Linked DNA regions of Oryctolagus cuniculus. The main gene of each other region encodes a partner of the protein of the gene in region 4 in a complex. Links are inferred from orthologs where the notes say so. Each region holds a gene or a part of one and is shown on either strand. Other genes may lie near its edges.

Evidence for each region.
Region 1: MYBL1 (region 4) and LIN52 share a complex: the UniProt entries of both Homo sapiens proteins name them as parts of the DREAM complex. The link is inferred for Oryctolagus cuniculus from reciprocal best matches to the Homo sapiens genes MYBL1 and LIN52.
Region 2: MYBL1 (region 4) and TFDP2 share a complex: the UniProt entries of both Homo sapiens proteins name them as parts of the DREAM complex. The link is inferred for Oryctolagus cuniculus from reciprocal best matches to the Homo sapiens genes MYBL1 and TFDP2.
Region 3: MYBL1 (region 4) and TFDP1 share a complex: the UniProt entries of both Homo sapiens proteins name them as parts of the DREAM complex. The link is inferred for Oryctolagus cuniculus from reciprocal best matches to the Homo sapiens genes MYBL1 and TFDP1.
Region 5: MYBL1 (region 4) and LIN9 share a complex: the UniProt entries of both Homo sapiens proteins name them as parts of the DREAM complex. The link is inferred for Oryctolagus cuniculus from reciprocal best matches to the Homo sapiens genes MYBL1 and LIN9.
Region 6: MYBL1 (region 4) and RBL1 share a complex: the UniProt entries of both Homo sapiens proteins name them as parts of the DREAM complex. The link is inferred for Oryctolagus cuniculus from reciprocal best matches to the Homo sapiens genes MYBL1 and RBL1.
Region 7: MYBL1 (region 4) and LIN54 share a complex: the UniProt entries of both Homo sapiens proteins name them as parts of the DREAM complex. The link is inferred for Oryctolagus cuniculus from reciprocal best matches to the Homo sapiens genes MYBL1 and LIN54.

What each region holds. Positions count from the first base shown.
Region 1 is NC_091451.1:20,268,162-20,271,661, reverse strand, and holds part of LIN52 (protein lin-52 homolog), read right to left. Parts: intron 2,544-3,500; coding exon 2,477-2,543; intron 613-2,476; coding exon 529-612; intron 1-528.
Region 2 is NC_091435.1:139,892,016-139,895,515, forward strand, and holds part of TFDP2 (transcription factor Dp-2), read left to right. Parts: intron 1-293; coding exon 294-440; intron 441-2,953; coding exon 2,954-3,022; intron 3,023-3,500. UniProt on the Homo sapiens protein: Can stimulate E2F-dependent transcription.
Region 3 is NC_091440.1:500,667-504,765, forward strand, and holds the start of TFDP1 (transcription factor Dp-1), read right to left. Parts: upstream 2,801-4,099; 5' UTR 2,719-2,800; intron 2,708-2,718; exon of another isoform or gene 2,569-2,707; intron 2,373-2,568; exon of another isoform or gene 2,349-2,372; intron 1,976-2,348; exon of another isoform or gene 1,954-1,975; intron 1,739-1,953; 5' UTR 1,678-1,738; coding exon 1,666-1,677; intron 1-1,665. UniProt on the Homo sapiens protein: Can stimulate E2F-dependent transcription.
Region 4 is NC_091437.1:92,251,480-92,254,979, forward strand, and holds part of MYBL1 (myb-related protein A), read right to left. Parts: intron 2,606-3,500; coding exon 2,434-2,605; intron 1-2,433. UniProt on the Homo sapiens protein: Transcription factor that specifically recognizes the sequence 5'-YAAC[GT]G-3'.
Region 5 is NC_091444.1:39,131,860-39,135,359, forward strand, and holds part of LIN9 (protein lin-9 homolog), read left to right. Parts: intron 1-346; coding exon 347-480; intron 481-1,741; coding exon 1,742-1,867; intron 1,868-3,500. UniProt on the Homo sapiens protein: Acts as a tumor suppressor. Inhibits DNA synthesis. Its ability to inhibit oncogenic transformation is mediated through its association with RB1. Plays a role in the expression of genes required for the G1/S transition.
Region 6 is NC_091442.1:21,409,143-21,413,427, reverse strand, and holds the start of RBL1 (retinoblastoma-like protein 1), read right to left. Parts: upstream 2,801-4,285; 5' UTR 2,495-2,800; coding exon 2,339-2,494; intron 1-2,338. UniProt on the Homo sapiens protein: Key regulator of entry into cell division. Directly involved in heterochromatin formation by maintaining overall chromatin structure and, in particular, that of constitutive heterochromatin by stabilizing histone methylation.
Region 7 is NC_091439.1:82,838,234-82,842,322, forward strand, and holds the start of LIN54 (protein lin-54 homolog), read left to right. Parts: upstream 1-1,289; 5' UTR 1,290-1,400; coding exon 1,401-1,467; intron 1,468-2,613; exon of another isoform or gene 2,614-2,726; intron 2,727-3,032; exon of another isoform or gene 3,033-3,166; intron 3,167-4,089. Other genes in the region: uncharacterized protein, read right to left, coding at 65-166, 269-923, 1,044-1,289. UniProt on the Homo sapiens protein: Component of the DREAM complex, a multiprotein complex that can both act as a transcription activator or repressor depending on the context. In G0 phase, the complex binds to more than 800 promoters and is required for repression of E2F target genes.

The DNA.
Region 1 (3,500 bases), on a different chromosome or scaffold from region 4:
GAACTGTTTTTTTGGGGTGGGGAGGGAATACTCAGAAAAAGACATTCTTTGTTTCCTTTGGAATCATTATATTTAAAGACACATAAACTGCAGTTCTTTCCTCAGTGCCAGGAAAAAGCTACCTGCAGCAGCAAAGAATGTGACTCACGCACAAGTGAGGCAAAGCTTTAAGACGAACAAAAGCACACCCACTCGTATCAGTAAGTCATGGATCTACAGCCTCAGGCCTATTTCTGTCCCTGGACTTTAAAACTATGCAAACTAAGAAATAATAAAGTCTCTCTTCTGTTTGAGCTCATCTGTGTCAACATTCTATTGCTTAAAACGTACTGCAGTGAGACATAGTGTCTAGTAAGTCCAGTTATTATTCCAGCATACTTATCATAAAAGATAGACTTTAAATTACATTGACTTCTTACCTTCAGAACACTTTCCTTTATTTAATAAAGACATTTTCTGAATTATAACTAGAACTCATCCTGGAATGTGCAACATATAGCCCTGAATAAATGGGATCTGGGTACTCACACTCATCCAGTCCCAGCTGATAGGCCAGGTTCTGTAGGCCTCGTACCTTCTCCATCAAATTAGCCGTGGTGAGGCTTCCCAGTTCTGAAACAGAATCATTTATTTCAATACTATTTCTTCCTACTATCTTCTAGTAATATTTCATTTGGGTTGGGAATATTTTTCAAGCTTAATTTTTTTTTTACTTTTTAAAAATGGGTTCCTTAAATATTTATTTACTGATTTACTTATTTATTTATTTGAGGCAGAAAGGGAGAGAGAGAGAAATCTCCCATTTGCTAGTTCATTCCCCAAACACCTGCAACGGCTGTGGTTGGGTCAGGCCTAAGCTGGGGACTGAGAACTCAATCTGTACTTCCCACATGGGTAGCAGGGGCTCACATACTTGAGATACCACACACTGTCCCCACAGTGTGCATCCTGGCAAGAAGCTGGAGCCAGAATTTGAACCTTGGACTCTAATACAGAATGTGGATATGCCAAGCAGCATGTTAACTACTACATAAATGTCTGCCTTCAAGCTTAATTTCTATTGAATAAGTAGAAAATGGGTTCTTACACTTTCTCCAATCTTATACGCACATACATACACACAAAATCAGTGAATTTTTACACTATTGCAGAGTGTCTCAGATGAGCTTACCCACTTAATAAGGAAAGCACAAGTACAATAATAAATGAAGTGTTTTACCCTAAAGAGCCTTTTATTCCATTCATTTAGTCTATTACACAAAATGAGTGTATCATTAAAATATAAAACTTTGTATGACTTGACATAGCATTGAGAAAGCCTTGCTGACAGATCTCTATCTTGCAAAATTATATCTTGTCATTATATATTATCCTGTCAATATACACTATATCCTTTGTCATTTATAAGTCACAATTATTTCAATAACAATAAAACAGCAACAATATGCTTACTATTCCCCATTTCCATGAGTTTAGAAAACAAAGCCTAAATATAAATACATATTTTCCCTTCAGAGAGTATACCTAAAATAACAACTTACCTCCCCAGATTTTCATTTAAATAACACTTAATTCTTTTTAAGTTTAAGACACAAGTCAATTTAAATGAAACATACTGGTATTACCCTTAACGAAAAATTTAAAGTTTCTCTAGGAAATACACACTGATAGGGTGTTATATAAATACTATTTCACACATTAGAACAATGAACCTTTTAGATGTCCTTGAAACTTAATTTTTCCATGGGTAGAGGAAGGGATCTACGTTTCAGCATTTCACACAGAACAATGAATTACTTCTGAAATCAAATAAAGGTTTTTTTCTCCCATTTATCATGCTGCAGTCATTATCTATATCTGGCATAAGCAAGCCTTCCTGATCTGTTCAGCTGCTTAAATAGTTCAAGAATCCTGGGTTCTCACTTTAATTTCAGTCTATTATTTCACAACCATCATGAATCTTATCACCAGAAGGATGATGAAAAATAAATAAAGTACAGGAAAATCAAGGAAAATTAATGTTTTTTAATTTAAACTTCTACTTTGTGAATAAGTTCCAAATCATTTATCAAACAACAGCATTCACTACTTATGGTATTCTGTATGGAAGAAATTGATGGGCCAGAAAGAAATAAAGGTAGGTTTTAACTCACTAAGGTAAGGAACTGACAACAGCACATGACGGTCAATCCTAAATAAGGGACTTGTGTTATAGTGGAAAGAGACTAGACTTAAAATAAAAGATGAACTTTAAAATTTTAATTCTTTCTAACAAATCTTAGATTTTATAAAATAAAAAATGAACTTAATTTCAATTGTAACAAATCTTGGATTTCAATATTTTTTGCACTAAAATACACTCATTTTTAATTCCATTTTTCCATGAATTTTTTGAAGTATCTTCATACTTGTAAGGAAATAGTGAAAAAACAATAGCAAAGGTGATTTGTAGAGGAACATAAATGGTGTTGCTTACCTTTCAACATGTCAATATCATCACGTTCTATTTCAGCCATCCATTTGGGTGGGGAGCTAGTAATAGGCTGTCAGAAAATAAGAATATAACCATTCAGACAGGTACACAGCGTGATGAGACCGCCTTTTCCTTCCTTTAGGAAATGTAGCTGGTCACACATACAACCTTCAGGTTGTCTGAAAACATTGTCTTCAGTTTATCCAGGTTGATATGATCTACAAATAGTCACCTTACAGAATAATTCTTTTTATCTTTAAAGTTGGTCTTGGAGAAATGATCTTAGCAGAATTAGGTGTGACCACTAACACTATTATTCTAGGCATACACTAACTTGCTTGTAAGAACAGCTTTGGATCAGCAGTTTTCAATCTCAGTTGCACTCGAGAATCACCTATGTAATTTTAAAAAATACATAAATGCTTTGGCTGTATCCCAGACGTACTGATTTCCAATATCAGGTTCTCAAGAGGATCTCCTGGAAAGAGCTGGACGAGGGATTCCACATACGCATTTTCCAATGGACTGAGAAGTGTAATTTCAGCTTTGGGTCCATCTCTCTTACAGAATTACAATTACTCAGCAGCACCAACTCGTGCCAAACAAAAGACTTTACATGCACCATGTTATTTACAACCAAATCAACCTAACCAAGTAGGCATTATCCTTATTTTACAATTGAGAAAAACCAAGAACAGGGATGATGCTTCATGTCACATAGCTAGAAGAGCCAGGATTTAAAAGGATTTCTAGGTTCAGGTAATCTGAATCTAGAAACCACTATGAGTAGTCTACACTGCCTGGCTTAGAAGGCTCTAAGTCAAATTCACCATTTTACCCCTTATGGGGAAAGATTATCCTAGGAGATCTTAACTTGGCATCCTGGAATGTCCTTGGGACCCTAGAAACAAAATAATATGTACGTGCACAACTCTAAGGTAAAGATGTAGATGCTGAATAAGATTTTTTTTTAATTATGTGTTTATTTGAAAGCCAGAGTTACAAAGAAAAAGATCTTGCATCTGTT
Region 2 (3,500 bases), on a different chromosome or scaffold from region 4:
GGCAGTGGAGGATGGCCCAAGTGCTTGGGTGCCTGCACCCACATGGGAGACCAGGAGGAAGCACCTGGCTCCTGGCTTCAGATCGGCGCAGCGCGCTGGCCTGTAGCAGCCATTTGGGGGATGAACCAACGGAAGGAAGACCTTTCTCTCTGTCTCTCTCTCTCTCACTGTCTGTAACTCTACCTGTCCAAAAAAAAAAAAAAAAGTATCTGAATATTATTAATTTAATATGTTGATATCATGTGACTGTATTTTAACCATAACATTTATCACTCAATAAAAATGTTTTTTAGCAGGCTTACGATCAGAAGAACATTAGGCGAAGAGTTTATGATGCTTTAAATGTGCTAATGGCGATGAACATAATTTCAAAGGAAAAAAAAGAAATTAAGTGGCTCGGGCTGCCCACCAACTCTGCCCAGGAGTGTCAGAACCTGGAGGTGAGCGAGCAGGCCCCCGCCTGTTTGTGGGTGATTGCTTGCATTATTTTACATCGGATACATTTTAGTTTAGACATATAATCACATAAAATTGAAATAGTCGCAGTTCTTAAATATGACATCATTTTTCCAATGGACTCTCACTTTAGAATTCGGAACTGGAAGGAACAGTAGCAGTATACTCAGCAGTCTTGTCAGTGATGACACTAAGGGATAGGAAAGTTAAATGACTTAAAGTGATTCTTGCTGTTTCTTAGAGAAGGTCTTTTTTTTTTTTATTCTAATTCTGAGTACTCTACTAATTTTGGTGAACTGTGTACTAGAAATACCACCTTAATTTTATGAAAGGCTTGCTGTGTGGATCAGAAGAAAAGGATCAAGCCGCATGTTTATTTCTGTGTTCCTCTAAAGGTAGCTGTGAAAGCTAACCTTTCACCCTTGGCTCTGAAATCAGTAGCAACAGAATGGTATTTCATTTGTGTCTTTATCAGGATGGACAGTGTTCAACGTAAAGGAACTTTGGAGTAATGTGGGCAAAACATCTTTAGTTCTGCTAACCTTGCCCATTGTAGAAATTCATCCCTAAGTGAGCATGTCCCCTGACATATTGTTTCTAAATCTGTTTATTGTCGTGAATTGGAGTAAACTAAGCTTAAATTTGGGTTTTAGAGATAATTAAGGTTGACTTTTTTTTTTTTTTTTTTTTTTTTTTTTGGTCTTTCTCATTCCCTTTCCCCGGGGAGAAGCCAGGCTCTCATCGAAAGTTGTAGAATAACGTTATTCACACACTGGAGTGACAAGGCCCTTCTTTTTATTCCTCCTAACATAGTAGAATTTGAACATAACTTTCGTATCAGTAACGTTCTGCTGAATCCAGAGGCTCAGCAGGTGAAGATCCGTCATTGTGCACCTCGTGCTCAGCCCCAGGTTCCACCCCAGGACCTGTCGCTGTGCTTTTAGAGAGGAGTGTCCGAGAGTTCCCAGAGTGTGGTTACTCCTAGGAAAGAGGCTACAGGGGAGTAACCCCTGTGCCGGGTCACGAGGGAGGGGCAGGAGTGGAGGGTGCCCATGGAGAAGGGGAGGCGCTGGGTGGTGTAGGACAGGCCTTGACAGCCCAGGCCATGTCTGGCCGAGAGTGGGCGTGGAGAAGGGTCAGATTTTCAGTGCTGGGCAGGGTGGCCCTGATGCCGTAATGTTGGGAAACGGTTGGTAATAGGATGTTTTACAGGACGTGTCTCAGTGTGGGCTGGAGGTGAAGTTAAAGGGAGATGGGGAAAGAGAAGGGGCAGGGAGGAAGCCAGTGGCTGGTCGGGGTTAGGGCAGTGTCAGTGGGGTTAGAGGCAGGGACAGTGCGGCTTGGCCTGGCTGGATGTGGGCGGGTGGAGGCTTGGCCTGGATGAACTCCCGCACGATGTTCTTCAAGGGTGGACAGCCTGAGATTTCACAGTGAAGCTTGGTGTTAAGGTGGTGAGGGGGAGCATGGGCAGAAGTTCCTAAGTAGGTGGGGAACAAGTAAGAAGCAATCTGGGGGGTAGACCCCCAAAAAGATGTTATTTGATATCTCAAAAGACAGAATTTCAGCAAATTTAGTTAAGATTTGAATTGGAATTTTTTTTCCCCCTGGGGATTCCAGGGTTGGGCAGCACCCTGTTCTGTAAAACACAGTAACTGCTGTGGTGAGCTGGCAGAGCAGGCTGGCCGTACGGGCAAAACAGGGCTGAAGAGATGCAAGGCAGAGCGGTGTGGGTCGGCCCTTCTCACGGGAAGCACAGGGGCCCTGTCAGGCCCACTGGAACCGGCCTGTCCAGGGCAGCTCTTACCTCCCCCTCTTCTGGTCTCCCCGAGAGTCAAAGTAACGCTGTGGTCTGGGCTCAGTGCCCAGACGTTAGCGCCAGGGACTCCACTGTGGTGGGGTCTTTTGGGCCTGGTGCAGGAGCTCAGTCGAAACCAATGACCTCCTGTAGATTTTACTTGACAGAAGGCTTTGACGTCTGCTCAGGAAAGACATCAACTGCAAGGAACTTCAGACCCCTTCTGGTTGCTTTCTAGGTCATTGTAGAATAGAGAAAGAACGCTAGTTGCTTCCAGCTGGGAAGTGTGCCATGCGTGTTTCTCACTGCACACAGGACTTTGTGTTGCACATGTGTGGTGACGAGGTTAGCAGTCCCACTCATTGGGGGCTCAAGTAGGCCACGATCGGCGAGATCTTGCCTCATTCCTGGGGTAGTGTGACCGCATGAGCTGAGTGCTGGCTGCTTTGACTAGAACGTGAGTGATAACGGCAACAGGTACTACCAGCCAAGTGTTCAGCGAACACTTGAATTTCATTTCTAAAGACAGTTGCCATATTTCTACTGGGGTGCCTGCTTTCTCATCCCAAATCCACGTCCCTAAAGATGGGTAAAATGGGTTGCGTTTCTCTAAGGAAAATTCTTGCTGTGTCAGAAATAGGGACGTGAAAAGTGAGCAGTCCTTTATGCTCTCCCCGGGTCTGTGTTTTGTAACCTTTACAGATAGAGAAGCAAAGGCGGATAGAGCGGATAAAACAGAAGCGGGCCCAGCTGCAGGAGCTCCTCCTACAGGTAAAGATGCCGGGTTTGTGTTTTCCTTACCCGCCCTGCCTGTCCGGCTGCTTCTCCACCTACGTGGGTTCAGAGTGGCTGATCTCTGACTGTGGTCTTCGCTAGTGTCTGGGGGACCACACCAGGGCGCCCGCCTCCTCCCCTTGCTGCCTGCATCCTGCTCTCTGCCTTTGTGGTGGCCTCATCTCTGCCCCTCCCTCCAGTGGCACTGTAGGTGGCACTGCACTTCGGACCTTATCCTCACTCCAAACGTAAACCAAAGTTCAGGGGTCTTTTTCTGTTTATCTTCGCCCTGGTTTGGAATATAAAATGGTAAGGCTACTTTAATTGTATGTACTTTAAGTAAAATAATCAAATCTACCTGTAGTACTTAAGGTTCAAAAAGATTTATAAAAAGAACAAAACTTAAAATGCATTTCTGCTTAAGAAAAGCCTTATAGGGGCCGGCGCTGTGACGCAGCGGGTTAACACCCTGGCC
Region 3 (4,099 bases), on a different chromosome or scaffold from region 4:
CCAGAGGCCACACAGAGGCCTGTGCGATCAGAAGCTGCTCATGACCGCAGAAATCACCGCATGAGATGAGCAGGGGGCACCAAAAACTAGCTTAGGGGCCCCCAGCGGGCTCTGGGCCCCTCAATTCACACCAGAGGGCCCACTCTGCAACAACCTCATCAGGCAACCTGTGCACAACACAGCCACTGGCCCCCCACGGGCCCTCACCCTTGCTGGTCGCCCATCCACCCTCCAGCATCACCTGCCCACAGCCTCCATTTCCAGCTTGTCCCCGACACCCTGACTTCTTGTCTGCAGAACACGGAGGCCACCCTGCCATTCTGCCCTGCCAGCTGCATCTCAGCCCGTGAGACCCTGCCACCGCCTAAGAGCACGTGGATGACAAGAAAGCAGCGTCACCAGCCACGGGACCAGCACAGCCCTTGTCTGTAGAACACGGAGGCCACCTTGCCAGTCTGCCCCACAGCCACTCCTCAGCCCGTGAGACCCTGCCACCTCCCAACAGCACACACTCCGAGTCCTTCAAATGCAACGATGACCAGCTAGGGGGCCAGCACAGCCCGTGCCCTGGCCCGGCGACCTTGCTGGGGTGGCGGGGTCCCCCTCCTCCAGCACCTGTCTGTCCTTCCCTCCCACGCCTCTCTCCGTGCCACACAGACGGTGCCAGCCACACCAACGTGGAACCACAAAGGGCTTCGAAGATGACATCAGTGAGTATCTAAGCATTTAAAGAGACGAGAGCAAACTGGTCCAGAAACCAGAAGCATGCGGCTGGGCATGGGTCTGGCACCACCCTTTCTGGGCAACTGTGGGAGTCCAGCTGCTTCGGGGCACCTGCCACATGTTGGCACCTCCAGGAGTGATGGCACCAACCAAATGACAGCAGTTTTAAAATGAACATCAAACCAAAACCCTGCACACAGCGCCCGGAGGGCTGCGCGCCTCCCTGCGCAGGCCTGCATCCGAGGACAGGGAGCCCCTGACCGGCACAGACAGAGGACGCGGCTCAGGAAGTTCGGGAAATCTGAGCTGACAGAAGGCGCTCCAAAGCCACCCAACCTGCAGTCGCGCACAGAGGCAGCAGGACCAGCCTGCTTCCAGCTCTATGCAGGAGACGAGCACGCAGCCCGTCTGCACCAGTGTGCAAAGACCCCGCGTTTCAGGGAATCTGACGGCATGATGGGAAACTCAGTTCATTCTTGGACCTAAGAGCCTATTTCTCCACCCAACTTTAAAAAGTTACCGAGAAGGGGATGGTATTGTGGCACGCAGAGGGTTCAGTGGGCACCTGCAATGCCAGCATCCCATAGGAGCACCAGTTCAAGTCCCGGCTGCTCTGCTTCTGCTCCAGCTTCCTGCTAATGCGCCTGGGAGGGCAGAAGATGGCCCAACTGCCTGGGCCTCTGTCATCAGGCTGGGAGACCCAGATGAAACTGTTGGCTTTGGCCCGACCCAGATGTGGCTATGTGGCCATATGGCCATCTGGGGAGTGAACCGGCTAATGGAAGCTCTCCCTCTGTCTCTCACCCTTCCAAATAAACAAACCAACCTCTCTTAAAAAGCCAGGAAATACTAATAACTCAGGTTTTGCCCCTCTGACAAAGGCACAAACAGGAGGGGCTGGTGCCAGGCACAGGTGTTTGAGCATTAAGCAAAGGTACTCACATCTTTTGCCATGTTACCAGGTCCAGGAAACCAATGCTATCAACATTCACTCTCCAAGGAAGAAAAGACTTTTCTGGTTAAAAAAAAAAAAAAGAGAGAGAAAAAAGAAAAATGAGCAAGGATGAAAAACTAAGTTTACAAGATGTCCCACTTTAAAGGAGACGTCTCCCCCGCCTGCACGAGGGCCTGGCGGCTGAGATTTCTCGCTAGAGCCTGGACGCAAGGCTCTCGCAGCGCTCGCCACCCTCAGACCCCGCGAGCAGCCCGGAACCCCCCCGCCCCGCGCACCCCAAATGGCCGGTCCGGAGGCGAGACCGCGGTGAGCCCGGGGCGCGCTGCCCGCCTCCGCAGGGTGGGCTTGGGTCCCCCACTTAGGCGCACACGACCACCCAACAGGGCACAGCCCAAACGTGCAAGTTCCCAGGTCTTCCCCCGGACCCTCCAGGGGCTGCGCGCCGGGCTGCTCGGCCGCCGACCGGTAACTCTGACAGGTGGGCTCTCGGGTCCCCGCCCGCTGCGATCTGTCACTAGGCCGCAGCCACCGCGCGCACTCCAGCCCCGCGGCGCCTCCCGCCCCGCCCCGCGCGGCCCGGCCCCGACCCCGACCCCGACCCCCAAGGCGCGGGCGCGGCCATCGGCCCCGGAGGCCAGGCCCCGTACCCCCGCCCGCCCCGCCCGGTCACCTGGGAGCCCCCGCCCGCAGCAAGGGCGCCTGGCGCGGGGCCCCGGCGCCCAGGAGCGCGCGGGGCCCGGAGGGCGCGGGAGGGCCGGGGCCGCGCGGCGCCCGCACGCGGCGGGGACGCAGCTCGGGGGCCGCCGCCCGCCCGCGCCCCGCGTGGCCCGCGCCCCGCGCTCGCCCGGCCCCGTCGCGCCGGCTCCCACCGCATCCTCCGCCGCCCGCACCTGGCTCGCCCGGTATGGCCGCGCAGTCTGGGGCGCGGGCCGCGCGGGGACACGGCCGCGGGGCGCGGGCGGGCGGCGGGGGCCGGGCGGCGCTCCCGGCCCTGGCGGGGTCCCTGCCCTGGGCCAGCGGCGCCGGGACGCGGGGCTCACCCTGGCCGAGCGTCGGGCCGGCGTGACGTGCGCGCGGCGCGGTGACGTGGGCGGCGGCGGGCCCGCTCCGCGCAGCGCGCCTGCGCGCATTTTCGCGCCTTCGGAGCCCTCCTCCTCCTCGGCGCCCTCCTCCTCCTCCGCCCCTCCTGCTCCCGCTCCTCCCGCCGGCGCTGCCGCCCTGGGGGAGGGGAGGGCCGTGCGCGCGTGTTCGAGCCTGCGCGTGCGCCGGACGGGATGGAGCCAGCCGGCGCTAGGGATGCGCGCGCGGGTCAGAGGGGCCACGTGTGTGCGCGCATGAGTGTGTGTGTGTGTGTGTGTGTGTGTGTGTGTATGCACGGAGCGAGACTGTGGGAGGAGACCCAAGCTGTGTGTGCGCACACAGAGCTGCAAGGGGGCCGGGGTGGGGGGCAGAGCTGGAGGCGAGACATGGGTGTAGGGGGTGGAGAGGAGGCACCTGCAGGGCAGGAGGCCAAGAGCACTTGCTGTGTGCATGGAAAAGGGGGCCAGTTGTGTGCTCGCCTGTGTGCATGGGGCTGGGGCTGCTGTGTACACCAGTGCGTGTGCACAGGGAGGAGAAGGGGTCAGGTGCAAGTGTGCACGTGGAGGAGTAGCAGATGGAGGCAAGCCAAGCGCGAGGGTGCCGCACAGACCAGGGTCCTGGGCGCGTTGGTTTGCATGGATGCAGGGGTGGAGGCAGGCGCTGAGCTGGCGCAGGTGTCTGGGCAGGGAGGGGAGGGGAGGGGAGGTCTCCAGCCCTGCTCCGCATCCCGGCGGCTTCCTCACAGAGTCCCAGCGACTCCACACCTCCTGGGCGCCAGGGCAGGCAGCCTTTCCACGGAGAGTGGAACTGGGCCCTGCCCTGCAGACACAGCTGTCACCTAGGGCTGGCGGCAGGCTGTGGAGGCCGGTCCCGAGCCCAGGCTGCACGGAGTCCCACACAGCCATAACAAGGGCTCTCCCACCCTGCACCCCTCTGCACACCTCCAAGTCCCACCCCATCCACACCCACTGCACCCACTCCTGCCCAGGAGAGCCCCACCCTGGCAGCCTGTCCTCTGTGCCAGCAGTTCGGTTTCTTTGTGGCAGAAACCTTCCTGTCTGGTTAGCACACAGTAGGTCCTTAGAGAAGGTTGATGGGGCTGGGGGGAGCGGTGTTTGGCCCAGGGATGAGGACACTGATCATGTCACCTGAACCCCACAGGGCTTCAAGGCCCAGCTCTGCCTCTGACCCCTAATCTGCACCCTTGGAGGCAGCAGGTGATGGCTCAAGTACCTGGGTCTCTGCCACCACATGGGGGACCTGGATGGAGTTCTTGGTTCCTGGCTTCTGCCTGGCCCAGCCCTGGCTGTTGTGGGCAGACTGAAGATCTCTGTCTCGCAC
Region 4 (3,500 bases):
TCCATATCTCTGTAACTCTTATCTTTCAAATAAATAAATAAATCTTTAACAAAAGATTTTTAAAAACCCTTAAAATCAAATAAATGTAAGTATGAAAACATCTGTCTACTATCCATAACAACCTACCTAAACCACTATCTTATGCAGAATCATTCTATACAACTTCTAACAGAAACTTATATTCCTCAAATTTTTCATGAAAATCTGATAATATTTCAATCCAATCTATTTTTTTTAAGTTACACTTTACTACAGAATTGTCTTCTTGGTAGTTTAAGATAATTGACAGGGAATACATAAAACTTTCTAAAATTATTAAAAATAAGGGAAACAATTATTAAAGTATGAGAAATGCTATCTTTGCAACATCTTTTGATTAAGACTTTTTTTTTTTTTTTTTTTTTTTTGGGACAGGCAGAGCTAGTGAGAGAGAGACAGAGAGAAAGATCTTCCTTTCTGTTGGTTCACTCCCCAAATGGCTGCTACGGCCGGCACACTGTGCCGATCTGAAGCCAGGAGTCAGGTGCTTCCTCCTGGTCTCCCATGCGGGTGCAGAGCCCATGCACTTGGGCCATCCTCCACTGCACTCCCGGGCCACAGCATAGAGTTGGACTGGAAGAAGAGCAACTGGGACAGAATCTGGCACCCCAACCGGGACTAGAACCCGGGGTGCCGGTGCCACAGGCAGAGGATTAGCCAAGTGAGCCGTGGTGCCAGCCTGATTAAGACTTTTAAATGCTCCTATTGCCCAAATAATTTTTAAAATTATCTTTTTATGATTTTAAGAAAATAAATTTAAATGATAACTTCTAAGGCATAAGCAAAATGTTTTAGTTTATATTACTGAAATCTAGAACTCTTAAAAAAATGTAAAGAAACAGGCAATAAAAATCTCAAGGTACTGAGTATCAGCAGATAACTACACTATCTTCACATGCTTTCCTTTTGTAAACTACAATGTCATTACTCTAAGTGATTCTTTTAAAATTTACGCCTAGGGGCAGAAGTCTGGTGCAGCAATTAAGTTGCCACGTGGGACACCAGCGTCTCATACTGGAAAGTCTATTTAACCTAGCTATCCTGCTTCCACCCCAGCTTCCAGCTAATGTACATCCTGGGAGGCAGCTGGTAAGAGGTTCAAGTACCAATCCCTGCCACCCATGTGAGAGACCCAGATGAAGTTCCTGGCTCTTAGCTTTGGCCTGGCCCAGCCCTGCTAAAGGCATGTGAGGGCTGACGTAACAGACAAAAAGTGTCTGTCTTGTCTCTTTGTCTGTCTGCCTTTCAAATAAAACAAAAAGAAATAAAAATTTTTAAATAAAACTAAGCCTAATAAACTTAATAAAGACTACAAGATACAAAATAAGAACAAAGGCACAGTAAGTACAGATTTTTATCACCTTGTTCAATTCTATCTTTCAATAAATGTTATTAAGTTCTGGCTTAATCTTTACATTTTACATTATAAGAACTGAGAATTGCTCCTTGGGAAAAGTGATGTAACAGGGGTGGGCATTTGGCACAGCAGTTGAGAAACCACTTGGGACACCCACGTCCCATATGGTAGTCCCTGGATTTGAATCCCAGCTCCACTTTTGATTCCAACTTCCTGCTAATACACACCCTGGAAGGGGAGAACAGTAACATAGGATACCCAGACTGAGTTCCTGGCTTCTGGCATGGGCCTGGCCCAGCCCAGCTGTGGCAAACATTTGGGGAGCGAATCAGCGGGTGGCATCTCTCTCTGCCTGTCTCTCTTCCTTCTCTCTGTCTCTCCAATTAAATAAAAAAATTTAAATGACATGACAGACAAGTTGATTAGAAAAACATAAAACAAACTTCATGGATACTGGTAAACTAATTTCATACAAGTAAGAAAATGCACTGTAAGGAGCCAAATACAGCTTGCCCCATTTGGAGCTTAGATAATCTCCACTTCAATAAATTTGTCTAATAAAAGACTGACATCATCAAATCTGAAAGTCATTAAGAATAATTATTTAACCCCCAAAATGATGATTTGAATGATTTTTGACTATTTTCTTCTTTAAGCTATTTTATATACACATACCTCTAACAGACAAGCAATACTACAATCACACAAAAAATTTAAATGAAAACTATAGTATCTATTAAAGCATATGATCATTAGTTCTGAATCATAAACAAAGATTGAAAGAATAAGAGTGGTAGGAAACATACATACTCAGTTGCCTAATGTAAAAATTACATATAAAAGGAAATGTTAATGATTTTTTTCCCAAAATACTTATCTAAGTTAGGATCTAATCAGACATTTTATTTCAGTTTAGAAATTTAAATGGTTATCCCCTGCTTAATATATGTTGTACTTGTCCTATTAATAAATCAAATACCTTCCTAAATGCAACTAAAGAAAAATTTTTGAATAATAAAGGTATTAAAAATATGTGCCTGAACAGGTATGTAAAACTGATTCTGGGTTTGCAAATGGTCCATGGTCGCACAAGGTTTGTGTTGAAGTTTAGATGATCGTTCTGATTTTACTCCATCTTGTAAGTATCCCTCCTGTTCCACTTTTCTTCGCATAGTAGAATTCCAATGATTTTTGATAGAATTATCAGTCCTAAGAAATTAAAGTGTATAATTTAGAACAAAAAATAAAATTTATTCCACACATTTTAATACTGTATTTCTTGTACAAAGTATAAAAACAAACTGCTACAACTGATCAAAGTAGATTTTTTTTAAAAAGTTCTAAAGATAAACTGCATGCCCATATATCAGTAGTTCTGAGCAACAGAGATATTGCAGGGAATAAGACAAAGAAGGGCCCTACTTCCATGAAGCTTACATTCTCATTGGAAATGTGGCAGCATGAACAGAAGAACAGAAAAACAAATAAATAAAAATATCAGTACAAAAGAAATAAAGTAGGATAAGAAAAGTGGGAAATGCGTAATTTTGGCTTGGTGGTGTAGGAAGGCCTCTGTGAGATGACAGCAAAGCTAAGATCTAAATGACAATAAGAATGAGTCATATTAAGAATGTGGGGGTAGCTGGCGCCACAGCTCACTTGGCTAATCCTCCGCCTGTGGCGCTGGCACACCGAGTTCTAGTCCCAGTTGCTCCTCTTTCAGTCCGGCTCTCTGTTGTGGCCCAGGAAGGCAGTGGAGAATGGCCCAAATCCTTGGGCTCTGCACCCGCATGGGAGACCAGGAGGAAGCACCTGGCTCCTGGCTTCGGATCGGTGCAGCGCGCCGGCCGTGGCAGCCATTTGGGGGTTGAAACAGCAGAAGGAAGATCTTTCTCTCTGTCTCTCTCTCTCTTACTGTCTAACTCTGCCTGTCAAAAAAAGAAAAAGAAAAAAGAATGTGGGGGTGGCCAGCGCTGTGGCGTAGCTGGTAAAGCTGCCACCTGCAGTGCCCCCATCATGTATGGGTGCTGTTCGAGTCTTGACTATTCCACTTCCAATCCAGCTCCCTGCTATGGCCTGGGAGGGTAGTGCAAGATGACCCAAG
Region 5 (3,500 bases), on a different chromosome or scaffold from region 4:
TCCTGTGAAGGCACACCCTGGAAGGCAGCAGGTGATAACTCGGGTACTTGAGTCTCTGACACCCATGAGGGTGAGTTGAGCTGAGTTCTTGACTCTTGACTCCAGCCATTGTGGACATTAGGGGAGTGAACCAGCAGATGAGAATTCTGTCTCTCCCACTCTCTCCATATCTTTACTTCCTCAGGTAAGTAAACGAAATTACTAGAATGTTTATTTGTTAAGCAATAACAAAAAATTCCATGTTGAATCGTTGTGAGTAATTATCAGTTTACAGATATACTCAATGTTAAAAATGTTCATTTTTACTTGCTGGAACTGTTATTAATCTCTGTTTTTTATTGCATAGAAATTTACAGCGACAATGTCAACACCAGATAAGAAAGCATCACAGAAGATTGGTTTCCGATTACGTAACCTCCTCAAGCTTCCCAAAGCTCATAAATGGTGCATATATGAGTGGTTCTATTCAAATATAGATAAGTATGTATCATGGCTATTACTTGGACTAGAAATTTAAGTTTCTCAAATGTTATAAGCTACAACTTTTTTAATAGGTCTAATTTGATCCTTTTTCTCCTTGAGTCTGTTTTCCTATTTCTTCTTTCCAGTTCAGTTTGTTTTTATTTCTCATGTTTTTCTTCCTTCCCCTTTTTAGGGAAGAAGCTATATATTTTTGTGAAAAATTAAATGAAAGCATACTTTATATATTATAATTTATAAAGACTATGGAGATAACCTAAGCAGAACACCTTAACTTGCAAAGAATGAGATTTTTTTTGGAAATCTTGAAATTTTATGTCCTAGTATAAGAGTGGAGAAATTGTTATTCATGGTAAAGATAACTCAAGAATTTTAGGAGAGTATTCTTTCTAGTTTGAGGATAGTACTTAATTAAGCACTTTATAAATGTGTAAGTAGAACATAGTAAAAAATTTGGCTGCAATCCAGTTATTCAACAACAGAATTTACTGAGGAAACATTCTGATTTGTAATCCGTATTCATATGCCCATCACTGGGGCTTACTTTGCTGGCTATTTAGCTTTACTTCTTTTCTCTGCTTTCCAAACCAGTTGCCTCCTCTAAAGCTTGTGAATCTCATGAATATTCATATTTCAGTCCAAAGCATTTATGTATCATTGCTAAGACTGGGTCCTGGTTTCCCAAACTCATGAATAGAGGTTTTTTGTTCTTGTCCACAGGTTTTCTGTAGGTTTTCTGTAGAGCTTTCAACATGTCCTTGTGTGATCTGAGATTCACAAAAACTAATCCAAACCTCTAGAGTCCTCCAGTGTTCTAAACTTGGCTTAGTCCTAAAGAGAACTCCTTGGTGATGGTATTACCTTTGGGACAAAGATACTTTGTTGTTAACATTACTTCTCTTTACAGACGTAATGCCAAGGCCAGGATAGCCTCCCAAAGGATGTTCTTAAGTAGCAGATTGAACAAAAATCAGTGTCTCCTGGAATCTCTAGCACAAACAGCATTTCCTGAGTTACTTTCATACATAGTTTCACAAATGCCAAAGATTAGTTTAGTTTTAACGCTTTGAATTGGTGCCTTTCTATATATATATATATATATATACACACATATATATATCATATATATAGTGTAAGTAAAAATTTGGCATTTTTGGATTAGCACAATAGAGAAAATTGGAGTGCATATTTTGAATTTTATGTCTTTTAAGAACATAAGACATTGTACATTAACCATTAAAATACCATGTCTGTTTTACAGACCACTTTTTGAAGGTGATAATGACTTCTGTGTATGTCTAAAGGAATCTTTTCCTAATCTGAAAACAAGAAAGTTAACAAGAGTAGAATGGGGAAAAATCAGGAGGCTTATGGGAAAACCACGGAGGTAATAATGTTTGTTTAAAATTGATTAATAGTTGATAGTATCATTGCTACATTGATTTTCTTATCTTCAAAATGACTAGTACCAAAACATAACTTTTAGAATACTTGATTATATGTTAAATATATCCTGTTAACCAACTGTATTATAGGTGCTTTTTGTTCTTATGCATCATATCATTAAAGGTGTAATTTGATTTTTTGTTCAGCTCACAGGTTTTGAACATAATTATATTCTAAATTATTCATTCTATTTTCCGAAAAATATTTAGTAATATCTTAACACGTATTTAAGGAGGCTATATAAGGTTATCTGTGTATTGTTAATGTCTCTTGTGAAAACCTTTATTGCCTCAAGAGCCTGTTTCACGTTCTATAAAAATAGAAACTAAGTTAATCTATCCAATATGTTAACTTTCCAAGAATTACTCTTTGTGTGAAATGACTTCCTATTCCAGTGTTATCTTTGTAGCATATCGGAAAGCCTGTGTTACTTGTGAGTAGAAATTTGAGCTATATTAGAATAAGATCATTAGGCCGGCCCCACGGCTCACTAGGCTAATCCTCTGCCTAGCGGCGCCGGCACACCGGGTTCTAGTCCCGGTTGGGGCGCCGGATTCTGTCCCGGTTGCCCCTCTTCCAGGCCAGCTCTCTGCTGTGGCCAGGGAGTGCAGTGGAGGATGGCCCAGGTGCTTGGGCCCTGCGCCCCATGGGAGACCAGGAAAAAGCACCTGGCTCCTGGCTCCTGCCATCGGATCAGCGCGGTGCGCCGGCCGCGGCGGCCATTGGAGGGTGAACCAACGGCAAAGGAAGACCTTTCTCTCTGTCTCTCTCTCTCACTGTCCACTCTGCCTGTCAAAAAAAAAAAAAAAAAAAAAGAATAAGATCATTAGTTCTCACATTGTCTGTCTGCCAAGAAAAAGCACGTGCAAGACTTTTTCGTTTTAAGTGATAGGAATGGTCAAAGAAGGCCTAGAAATATAAAGTGATTTGGAGAAGGAGAAATGGAATTTAATTTTAATGATCCCTATTGCATGGGGAACATCCGGCCTATGGGTCCTGTGAGGCCTGTGAAATCATTTGGTCTGGCCTTACAAAGGCTACTGTAGGTGGGACTCAAAATTCAATAAATCTTAAGTAAATAAGTAATTTTTTTTAAAAAAGGAATGAACAATTGATACATACAACCAGGTAGAATTCAGAAAACTTAATGCTTAATGAAAGAAGCCTTACAAAATAGTATATACTAGATGATTCCATATATATAAACTTTCAGAAGATAGAAACTATACTGAGAGAAAACAACTTAGTGGTTGCTTGAGAAAAGAGGTATAAGAAAGGAAGCAATATAAAAGAAAATGCACAAGAAACTTGTGGATGTGTTCATGTGTTCACTGTGTTGTGAGGGATTTTATAATTTATATATAATACGCATATATCAAAATTTACCAAATAGTACACTTTAAACATATATAATTAAATGCTGATTATACTTCAAAATGTTAACAAACAGAAATTTCAAAACAGAATTGAGGAAAGTGAGTACAAGAGAGGAAATGGTAATTTTGGTATTCAAGGAAGCAAACATTTGGAATTGTCAACTGTAGGAGGATAGTATGAGTCCTTTGTTCTTAAAT
Region 6 (4,285 bases), on a different chromosome or scaffold from region 4:
TCCCATGTGGCCTTTATGACACTGGTTCTTTTCTACCACTTTAGTTTCTTTTTACTAGTATGGCAGAAAAAGGCCAAAACAGAGCAGAAAATGGGCAAGGGAGTCCCACACAACAAATACTTATCTTAATAATGCATTATTTTTGTGAGGTAAAAATCTGGGGAATCATTTAACCAAACGTTATCTTTGTAACTATGGTTTTATATCTTAGAAGATATCTCTGTAAAAAGCTACAAAAAAGGTGGCATTAGGGAGTTCGACATTAATTTTCTCCTTTAGATCTAAGATATCTCTAAGCTAAAACCACTTTATGACTTCATTTCTGAAATACAGGTTACACTTAATGATTAAGAATTACAGATGGGGCCGGCGCCGTGGCTCACTGGCTAATCCTCCACTTGCGGCGCCGGCATCCCATATGGGTGCCGGGTTCTAGTCCCAGTTGCTCCTCTTCCAGTCCAGCTCTCTGCTGTGACCTGGGAGGGCAGTGGAGCATGGCCCAAGTGCTTGGGCCCTGCACCTGCATGGGAGACCAGGAGGAAGCACCTGGCTCCTGGCTTCGGATGGGTGCAGTGTAGCAGCCATTTGGGGGGTGAACCAATGAAAGGAAGACCTTTCTCTCTGTCTCTCTCACTATCTAACTCTGCCTGTCAAAAAAAAAAAAAAAAAAAAAAAAAAAGAATTACATAAACCGATCCCAAAATGTAATACAATGCTCCTCTTACTGTTCTACAAATCTTCTTTAACACTACACTCCAGAAGCATAAAAGATTGATAAGTATTTCTTGCAATAATTAAAAGGGGTAGGTTGGGGCCAGCATCGTGGCATAGTGCATAAAGCCACCACCTGCATTGCAGGCAACCTATACAGACACTGATTCATGGCCTGCTCACAGTGATCCTGCCCCAAGCTAATGGCCTGGGAAAGCAGCAGCAGATGGCCTAGGTATTTGGGTCCCTGCCACCTACGTAGGAGAACCTGGATGAAGCTCCTGGCTTCCCATGGTCAACTTCAAATTTCCAGCTCTATGCTTTGACCCCACAAGATGGTGAGTCAGTGGAGCACCTTGTAAATCCAGCCCTCTTGGTTCATGAAAGCCTTTGAACAGAAGGCCACTGAAATGGTGTGGATATGCTGAAATACAGCTGTCCCAGGCTATCTGTAGGGAACTGGTTCCAGGACCCCAGCAGAGAAAAAAAACCAATAATGCTCAAGTCCTTTTTTCTGGAAAAAATTAATTATTTATTTATTTGAAAGAGAGACAAAAAGAGATTTTTCAGCCACTGATACGCTCCCCAGCTGGGGCTGGACCTGGCTGACACCAGGCCAGGCTGAAGCCAAGAGCCTAGAACTCCATCAGGGGCTCCCATGTGGGTGGTAGGAACTCAAGTACTTGAGTCTTCACCTGCTGAATCCTAGGGTGTCAATCAGCAGGAATCTGGAATTGAAAACAGAGTAGGGACTCAAATCCTGGTATTCTGATACAGGATGTGGGTTTCCCGAGTGGTGTCCTAACTGCTGTACCTAAGACCTGTGCCTCAACTCTCTCTTATAAAGTGTAGTATTTGTATATAATTTATCCATATCTACCAGTATACTTTAAATTATCCCTAGGTTACTTATAATACCTATACATCCTAAATGTTATGCAAATAACTGTTTTGCGGTGTTGTTTAGGGAGCAATGACAGTGTTCTGCACGTGGGGCTGTACTACAGGCAGGGCTAAACATCCGGATTAAGAACTGATGGTAGAACCTGGCGCTGAGAGATAAGCTTTGGGTGTGAACCGCCTTTGACCAAACTACGGTACCATCCCGTGTTCAGAATAAGCGAGGCACACCTCCACCCCGGGGGGAGGCAGAAGCTGGGCAGGTTCAATGGCTCCGACTCCTCGCTAACCCTGAGACCTCGGGCAAGGAGCCTGACCTCTCTGGGGGCTTCGCTTCCCCTTCCAGGGAACGGGGATCCCAGGGCAGGTTCGAAGCGCTGAGCAGTGGTGCCTTAGCACGCAATTCATTGGCGCTTTCCCACCGCTACACTTCAGTACCAGAACGTAAGCCGCACTGCATGGGGAGGAGGCAAGGTCTGGGCTCCGGAGACCCCTGAGTGGCGCGGGGTCTCGGCCAAGCCGCTCCGGTTCTGGGCTTCCGTTTCCCGCCGCACGAACATGGGTGGGTCGGCTCCTCTCCACCCACCCGTCTCTGCACTCCTCTGCGCCCGGCTGGGCAGCGACCCTGCTCGCCGGGGAAGCTCCCACCACCCCATAGGCTGGGGTAGGGGCGGGGCGGGGAGGGGCCCGGCGAGGGTCGTCCGGCCGCCCACCTGCCGCCGCTCACCTCTAAGCTGTAGTTGCCCCGGATGGTGGCGAAGTCGTCCAGGGCTTCGGCCGCGCTCCCTTCGTCCAGGTTCAGCTCCTGGCACAGGGCCTGCAGCGCCGCCCCGGCCGCGGCGACCACCGCCGCGCCCTCGGCGTGGGGTTCGTCCTCGAACATCCCCTCAGGCCCCGCGGGCGGCGCGCCGCAGATACCCCCGCGCCTTTCTCCCTCCGGGCGCGCTACCCACAACCACCCGCGCCAAAGCGCGCGAAAATCGGGAGCGAACGAGTGCCGTCCCGCTTTACTCCGCAAAAAAAAAAAAAAAAAAACCTTTTTTTCCTCCGGAGCTCCCAGCTGTCCCTCTCCGGGTATGTGACAACAGGACGGATCTCGGGTCCTGTAAACACCCGACCTTGGTCCTCGGCAGACTCGTGGCCCCAGCGGGCAGGGCCAGTGCGGGAGCGTAGGTTTCGGCCGCCCGCGCGCGGAGGCTGCCGGGAGTTGTAGGCGCCCCCACCCCTGGACGGCCGCGGTGCCACCCCGGTTCCCGCCGCTGTGCCGCCCCGGTTCCCGCCGCTGTGTGAATGCGACGAGGCCTGGTTTTTGGTAGTGGGAAGACCCCCGCCAACCGCCAGGCCGTGGGCCTTGTTGTTTTGTTTTGTTTTGTTTTGTTTTGTTTTTTTTCTGTTCTAGGTCGTCTGACAGAGCCTCGGCCGGAGGCGGAAAACGAAAAGTGGGCCCTTGATGGCCGATGGCCGCCTCAGAGGTCCCCTTATGTCCCCAGCGCCCAGAGTGCTCTGCTGAGTGACCGAATGGGAAGACCCGTGCCTCTCTGTCCATGCAGGCCCAACCCCTACTGTCTTTACTCCCCTTCAATCTATCCCTCCTAAAATAAAGTCTGCTGTACTTTAACTGGCCTTCTCACTTCCTTTGAACCCTACAGTGCTAAAAACCTAACAAGTGGCAGGACCTCAAGTACTTCAGCCACCACCGCTGCCTCCCAGGGTCTGCACTGGCCCGAAGCGGAAGTCAGAACTAAAGTCAGGCACTCCAATATAGAACGCGGGCCCAGCGTCAACCACGGTGCCAGTGGCCTGTCTCTCCTTGACCCCCAACCCCATGGCATGTTACTAAAGGAGGTGTCTGTGAGGACTTTTCAGCTCCCTGGATTCTGGAACTTTCCCAGTCAATACAGTGATTTCAAGCATAGGAATGGCTTGAACTTAACCTGAAGCCAGAGAGATCCTTTTCCAAGGTAATCTGAGCCCGTCACTCCTTCACTTGACATCTTTCAGTAGGGGTTAGCATCGTGCCACGTTGCCATCTGTGATGCTGGCCTTCCACGTGGGCTCCCTTCAAGACTCGGGTGCTCCACTTCCAATCCAGCTCCCTAGGAATGTGCCTAGGAAAGCAACAGGAGACGGGTGAGGTTTTAACCCAGGTTGGTGGTGTGATCTCTGCATTTTGGACAGGTACCGCGGCTGCAGTATGATACATGGATTGTCTGGGATAGAGATTAGAGGCATGGAGATCCCGGGGCTGGCTGGATCTTGGAAAGCAGCGGAAGATGACTTAAGTCCTTGGGCCCCTGCACCCACGAGGGAGACCCGGATGAAGCTCCTGGCTCCACTCTCCAAATGTCTCATCCCTTTCCTCTGCTCCTGAGCAGGGTTTGGAAAGAGGCAGGTAAAGCACCTGTTACGCCTGGTATCAGGGATGGTGGAAAATCTCCATTCCCACCCTAACCTGTGACACTATCTCCAACTACCTTTCTCCATTTTGCTCAGTAATGCTTCTCTAGTACAGAGGTGTGTCATTGTGGTGTAGTGGGTAAAGTTGATGCCTGCGACACTGGCATCCCATATGGGCACTGGTTGGTGTCCCAGCTGCTCCTCTTCTGATCCAGTTTCCTGTTAATGCTCCTGGGGAAGTAGTGGACGATGGCCCAAGTACTTGGGCTCCTGCACC
Region 7 (4,089 bases), on a different chromosome or scaffold from region 4:
GTCCTCTGTGCTCCAATGGCAATTACATACTGTTGCACACCATGTTACATTTACATTCTTTTACCTTTTCTATTGCTGTGTAGTCTCGTCTCAAACACCGAGCATTTATTAACTGAGTGGTCTTTCACAGCCTGTTTTTCCGACTTCACATTCGGATGTCTTGTAACTAGTGGGGATAATAATAGAAAAGATGACTAAATACAAAGAAATTTGACTCCGTTAGTCTTAGCTGTATACAGTATTGCAAAAAAGGCAAGAAGTCCCTTACAAAATAAGTTTAATTCTGCGTGGTTTCCCAGGGGCTTTTTAGCGACTCCTGCAAAAGCAGTACCTATAAAACCAAGAGATTCGGCTTTTGTGCCGAATCGCCGCCTTAGGAGCACATCAAACAGGGAGGATGCTGGAGGACGCACCTCCAGCATGGACTTCCTAACAAGGGAAGCGAGGCGAGAAGGCGGCCTCTGCCAACTGCTGGCGCGATCCGGGATCACCGTCCCCCACCCCCGGCTCGGCGAGATGGAACATTCCGTGCGAAAGCTTTGACAAGGCGCCCAGTCGGAGTCACGTGGAGCCGGAGCGTACTCACGGAGCCTTGCGGAATGACGCGGCTCGGGTTGCCAAGGGGCGGGGCCAGGCGCCGCGGAAGGGGCGGGGCGAAGGAAGCCGGCCCGGGGAGCTAAGCGAGGCGGGGCAGGGCGGGCGGAGTGGAGGGGCGGGCAGAGAGGGGCGCGCGGGCGGGGAGGGCCCGGCGTATTATGGGATGCGGCGGTGGAATGGCGCTGGGCGCGTGATTTTGAACAAACCCGGGTCTGTGCCTCGGAGGCGCCGCCGCCGCCGCGGCTGCTGGGAGCCCAGGGAGCGCGGCGCAAGGAGGAGGCGGCGGCGCCGCCGGCTTTGGTGAGTGTCAGCCCCTGAGATGGGGGCTACCGGGCGGGCGGGAAAGGGGGAGCCAGTCTCCGCTGCGAATGGCAGCGCGGGCGGAGGGCGCCGAACCGCTCCCCCCCGGGAGCCTGGGCGGCGGGGCAGTGGCGGAGAGCGGGCACCTGCCGCCTGGGGGCCGCCGCGCCCCATCCCCGGGCCGCAGGGGGCGGACGATCCTCAGGGCACGGCCCCTTCCCGCCGGCCCCCGGGAGGGCGGCTGTCACTCGGCAGGGCCAACGCCGTGCCGGCCGCCCTGCCCGGCTGACTGGAGGAAGGACTCCTACGGCTGTGGACAGGCGCACAGCGCGGTCCGAGAAGCCGGCCGTGTGGGCCCCGGTGTCAGGGAACCGGTTTTGCTGCTGTGTCATTTGGTATCAGCCCCTCCTTTGCCTGCTGCCCGCCGCCGCCTTCTTCCTACGCCCCTTTGTATGGACTCTTCTTCGTGTGCGTCCGTTTTCCTCGCGAAGCCCACCAGCTAAATGTCACAGTGTTCCCGCGGTGCACGGGGGAAGGGAGCGGGCTGGGGCTCAGCTTGGCCACGCAACGGTAAACAGCCCAGCAGGGTGCGGGTGGACCGGGCTGTCGGTGGGTTGGTGAAGTTTAAGGATGAGGGAATTGGGAACACTTTAGACTCGGAGCGCCGAGCAGGCTGCACAGGAAAGCGGGGGTTGGAGCGGCTGGAGGATAGCACTTGTTTACGCCTGGAGCCGCCGACTTTTGTATGGAGTTGCCTTTCACACAAGGTGGAAATAAATGGCTTTTTCCACTTCCACCTTCCTCTCCTCAGACTAACTTTTCAAAAAAGGCACTGAGAGTGGCTGTATTCGCAACCTTGAAGTTCAATTTGCTTGTTTTACGTAGGTCCTTTAGAGCTTATGGCGTGGTTTAGTGGTATAGAATTTATCTTTTGAAGGGGTGATCTTTCTGAAATTAACAATGGTAACTGATTTTTTTCCAAATGCTGATTTCATCAGAAGCTTTGCAGCTAATGTTTTTCTTCTTAGGTGATTAGAAAATATGTATGTTCTCCTTTAATTGCTTATTAAACTGAATGATGACAGGAACTGGTGGGAGTATGGGGCAACTGGGGTCTTATTCTAAAGCAAACTGTTTATTTTCACTGTATTGAACAAAACAGCAGCGGCAGATGGTTTTTCAATTTGATGACTTAGATCCTAAAAACATTTGGCAAGAAATTTTAGCTTAGAGCTATATTTTCCGTATTTTGGAAATTGATCGTGAATGTTTCCACAATTGGATCAGTACATTTCAAATCCAGTCGCACTTTGAAGTCCGGTCGTCACAGTGTTCGTGGACAGAAGTGACCAGATTAAAGTTGAGTGGAGAGGGAAACAGTTCGGATCCTGGGTTTTAACTGGTGGCTTGTTTTTGACCGCCTACCTGGCTGAGGGTCGGTGCCTGTAGTTTAGGAAAGTGTCAGAGAGGTCAGGGCTAGCATATGGAAATCGCTCGTCCTGTCAAAGTAGTTCTGCGGTTAGAGTAATACGTCAAAGTTGGTGAGTGACATTCACGGTGCGGACAATGTTTGTAGCGTCTGAGATGGACGCCGCGAAAGAAGCCCACGCCTCCACCTCCCTCAAGTTGGTTTCGTGAAAATGAGGGAGTTTGGGCTCTTTATTGTCCCGGTGCCGCCTTCTGCTGGGCTGCCTTTGCACACAAGCCTATGCCGGACTTGGGACCCGCCGGGAGAGCGACTTCCTCTGGCGCCGCGGCGGGGCCGCCGGGCTCGGCGTGTGGTTCGGGGGTGAAAGGTTGGCGTGGCCCGTGAGCACTTGTTCCTCCGGGTGCGTTTGAAGGTTGGCGGGGCCGGCGGGAGGCTTCCCCGGATATGTGGGTGTGCGCCTCTCGGGAGGGGCGGGCCGGGGCGGGGACGGGGAGGCGGGGGGCCGGCTGCTGGCGGCGGCGGCGGCGGCCCGGGCTCGGGCTGCCGGGGAAGCTGCTGAGCTGTGATGGTGATGACGAGGTGAAAATGGCGGATCTTTCGAAATACAATCCCGGCCCCTGACATACCAGAGGCGGCGGCCGCGGCGACGTCGCCGCCCGGGCTCGCTCCCCGGCCCCCGGGTACCCTGCAGCGCTCCAGTCTGGGCCAACTGGGGAAGGAGGCGGCCGGCCGGAGCTACCGTGTCAGGCAAACAAGCACCGCCCGGGCTCGGGATTGCCCGGGACCTTCTGGAGCCCCCACCTCGGAGCCCGAGGGAGGAGAGAGCGGCCGCCGCTGGAGGTAGAGGAGGCTGGGGGTACCCCGAGGGCTCCTCTGGGTAGAGATCGCTGCGTTTCGAGGGGTGCCGGCGGGTGGGGGAAGAATTGCGTTGTGGATCGAGGCATGACTTGCCCGGAGTGCAAAGAAGCAGTAGCCTCGTCATGACATCAACATTATTCTTTGAGGGTGAAGAGGGCTCGAGTTTGCTCTTACACCTCAGGCGCTGCTGAGGCCTAGAGGAACCGCTAGCACTTACCATGATTTCCTGATGTGATACTGAAAATATCCACTCTGCCGGGTGTTGGTTGGGTGGTGTTCACCAGTTTAGGGGGTTGTATGTTTCTTTCGGGAGGCAGAGCATTGGCATTTTATTCTGCATTTAAGGTCTTGGATCACAACCTATAACTTGTTGGGGTGTTGGATGCTCACAGTTTTTGATCATAAGCACCACTATGAAGCCATTACCAATGTTATTTTTTTTCTTTCATGGCTCTGTCATCCATCAAGTGACCCCTTTGCCCCTGCCATTTGGCTGATAACAATTGAGATACTGTTAGTGATATTTTATAACCTTTGCTTTTCAGAGAAGTTCTTCTCTGCCCTCACCCCCTGCCCCCCCACCCCCAGTCCAATTTCTTGAATCCAGATAGTTAAGTTGTGAAGATTTTGCTGTGGATACAATCCAAGTGAAATACAGCTCTGGGAGCTCTATTTTGGTCATGAGTTTTACCTTCATTGTTAAGAAGGAGAGTTGTGATGGCTTGCTGCCAGCATTTGATATGAGGTTGTTAAGTCGGTAAAGATAAATTGAGATTTCTGTTACATTCTAAATGCTGGATTTATCAGTCCTTTGTTTAGAGAGCAGGAGAATTGGATTGATTTTTATGATGGCCATACTGTGATTTTGGTAGATCATCTAAAGATCCATGTATGTTTCGGTTGTG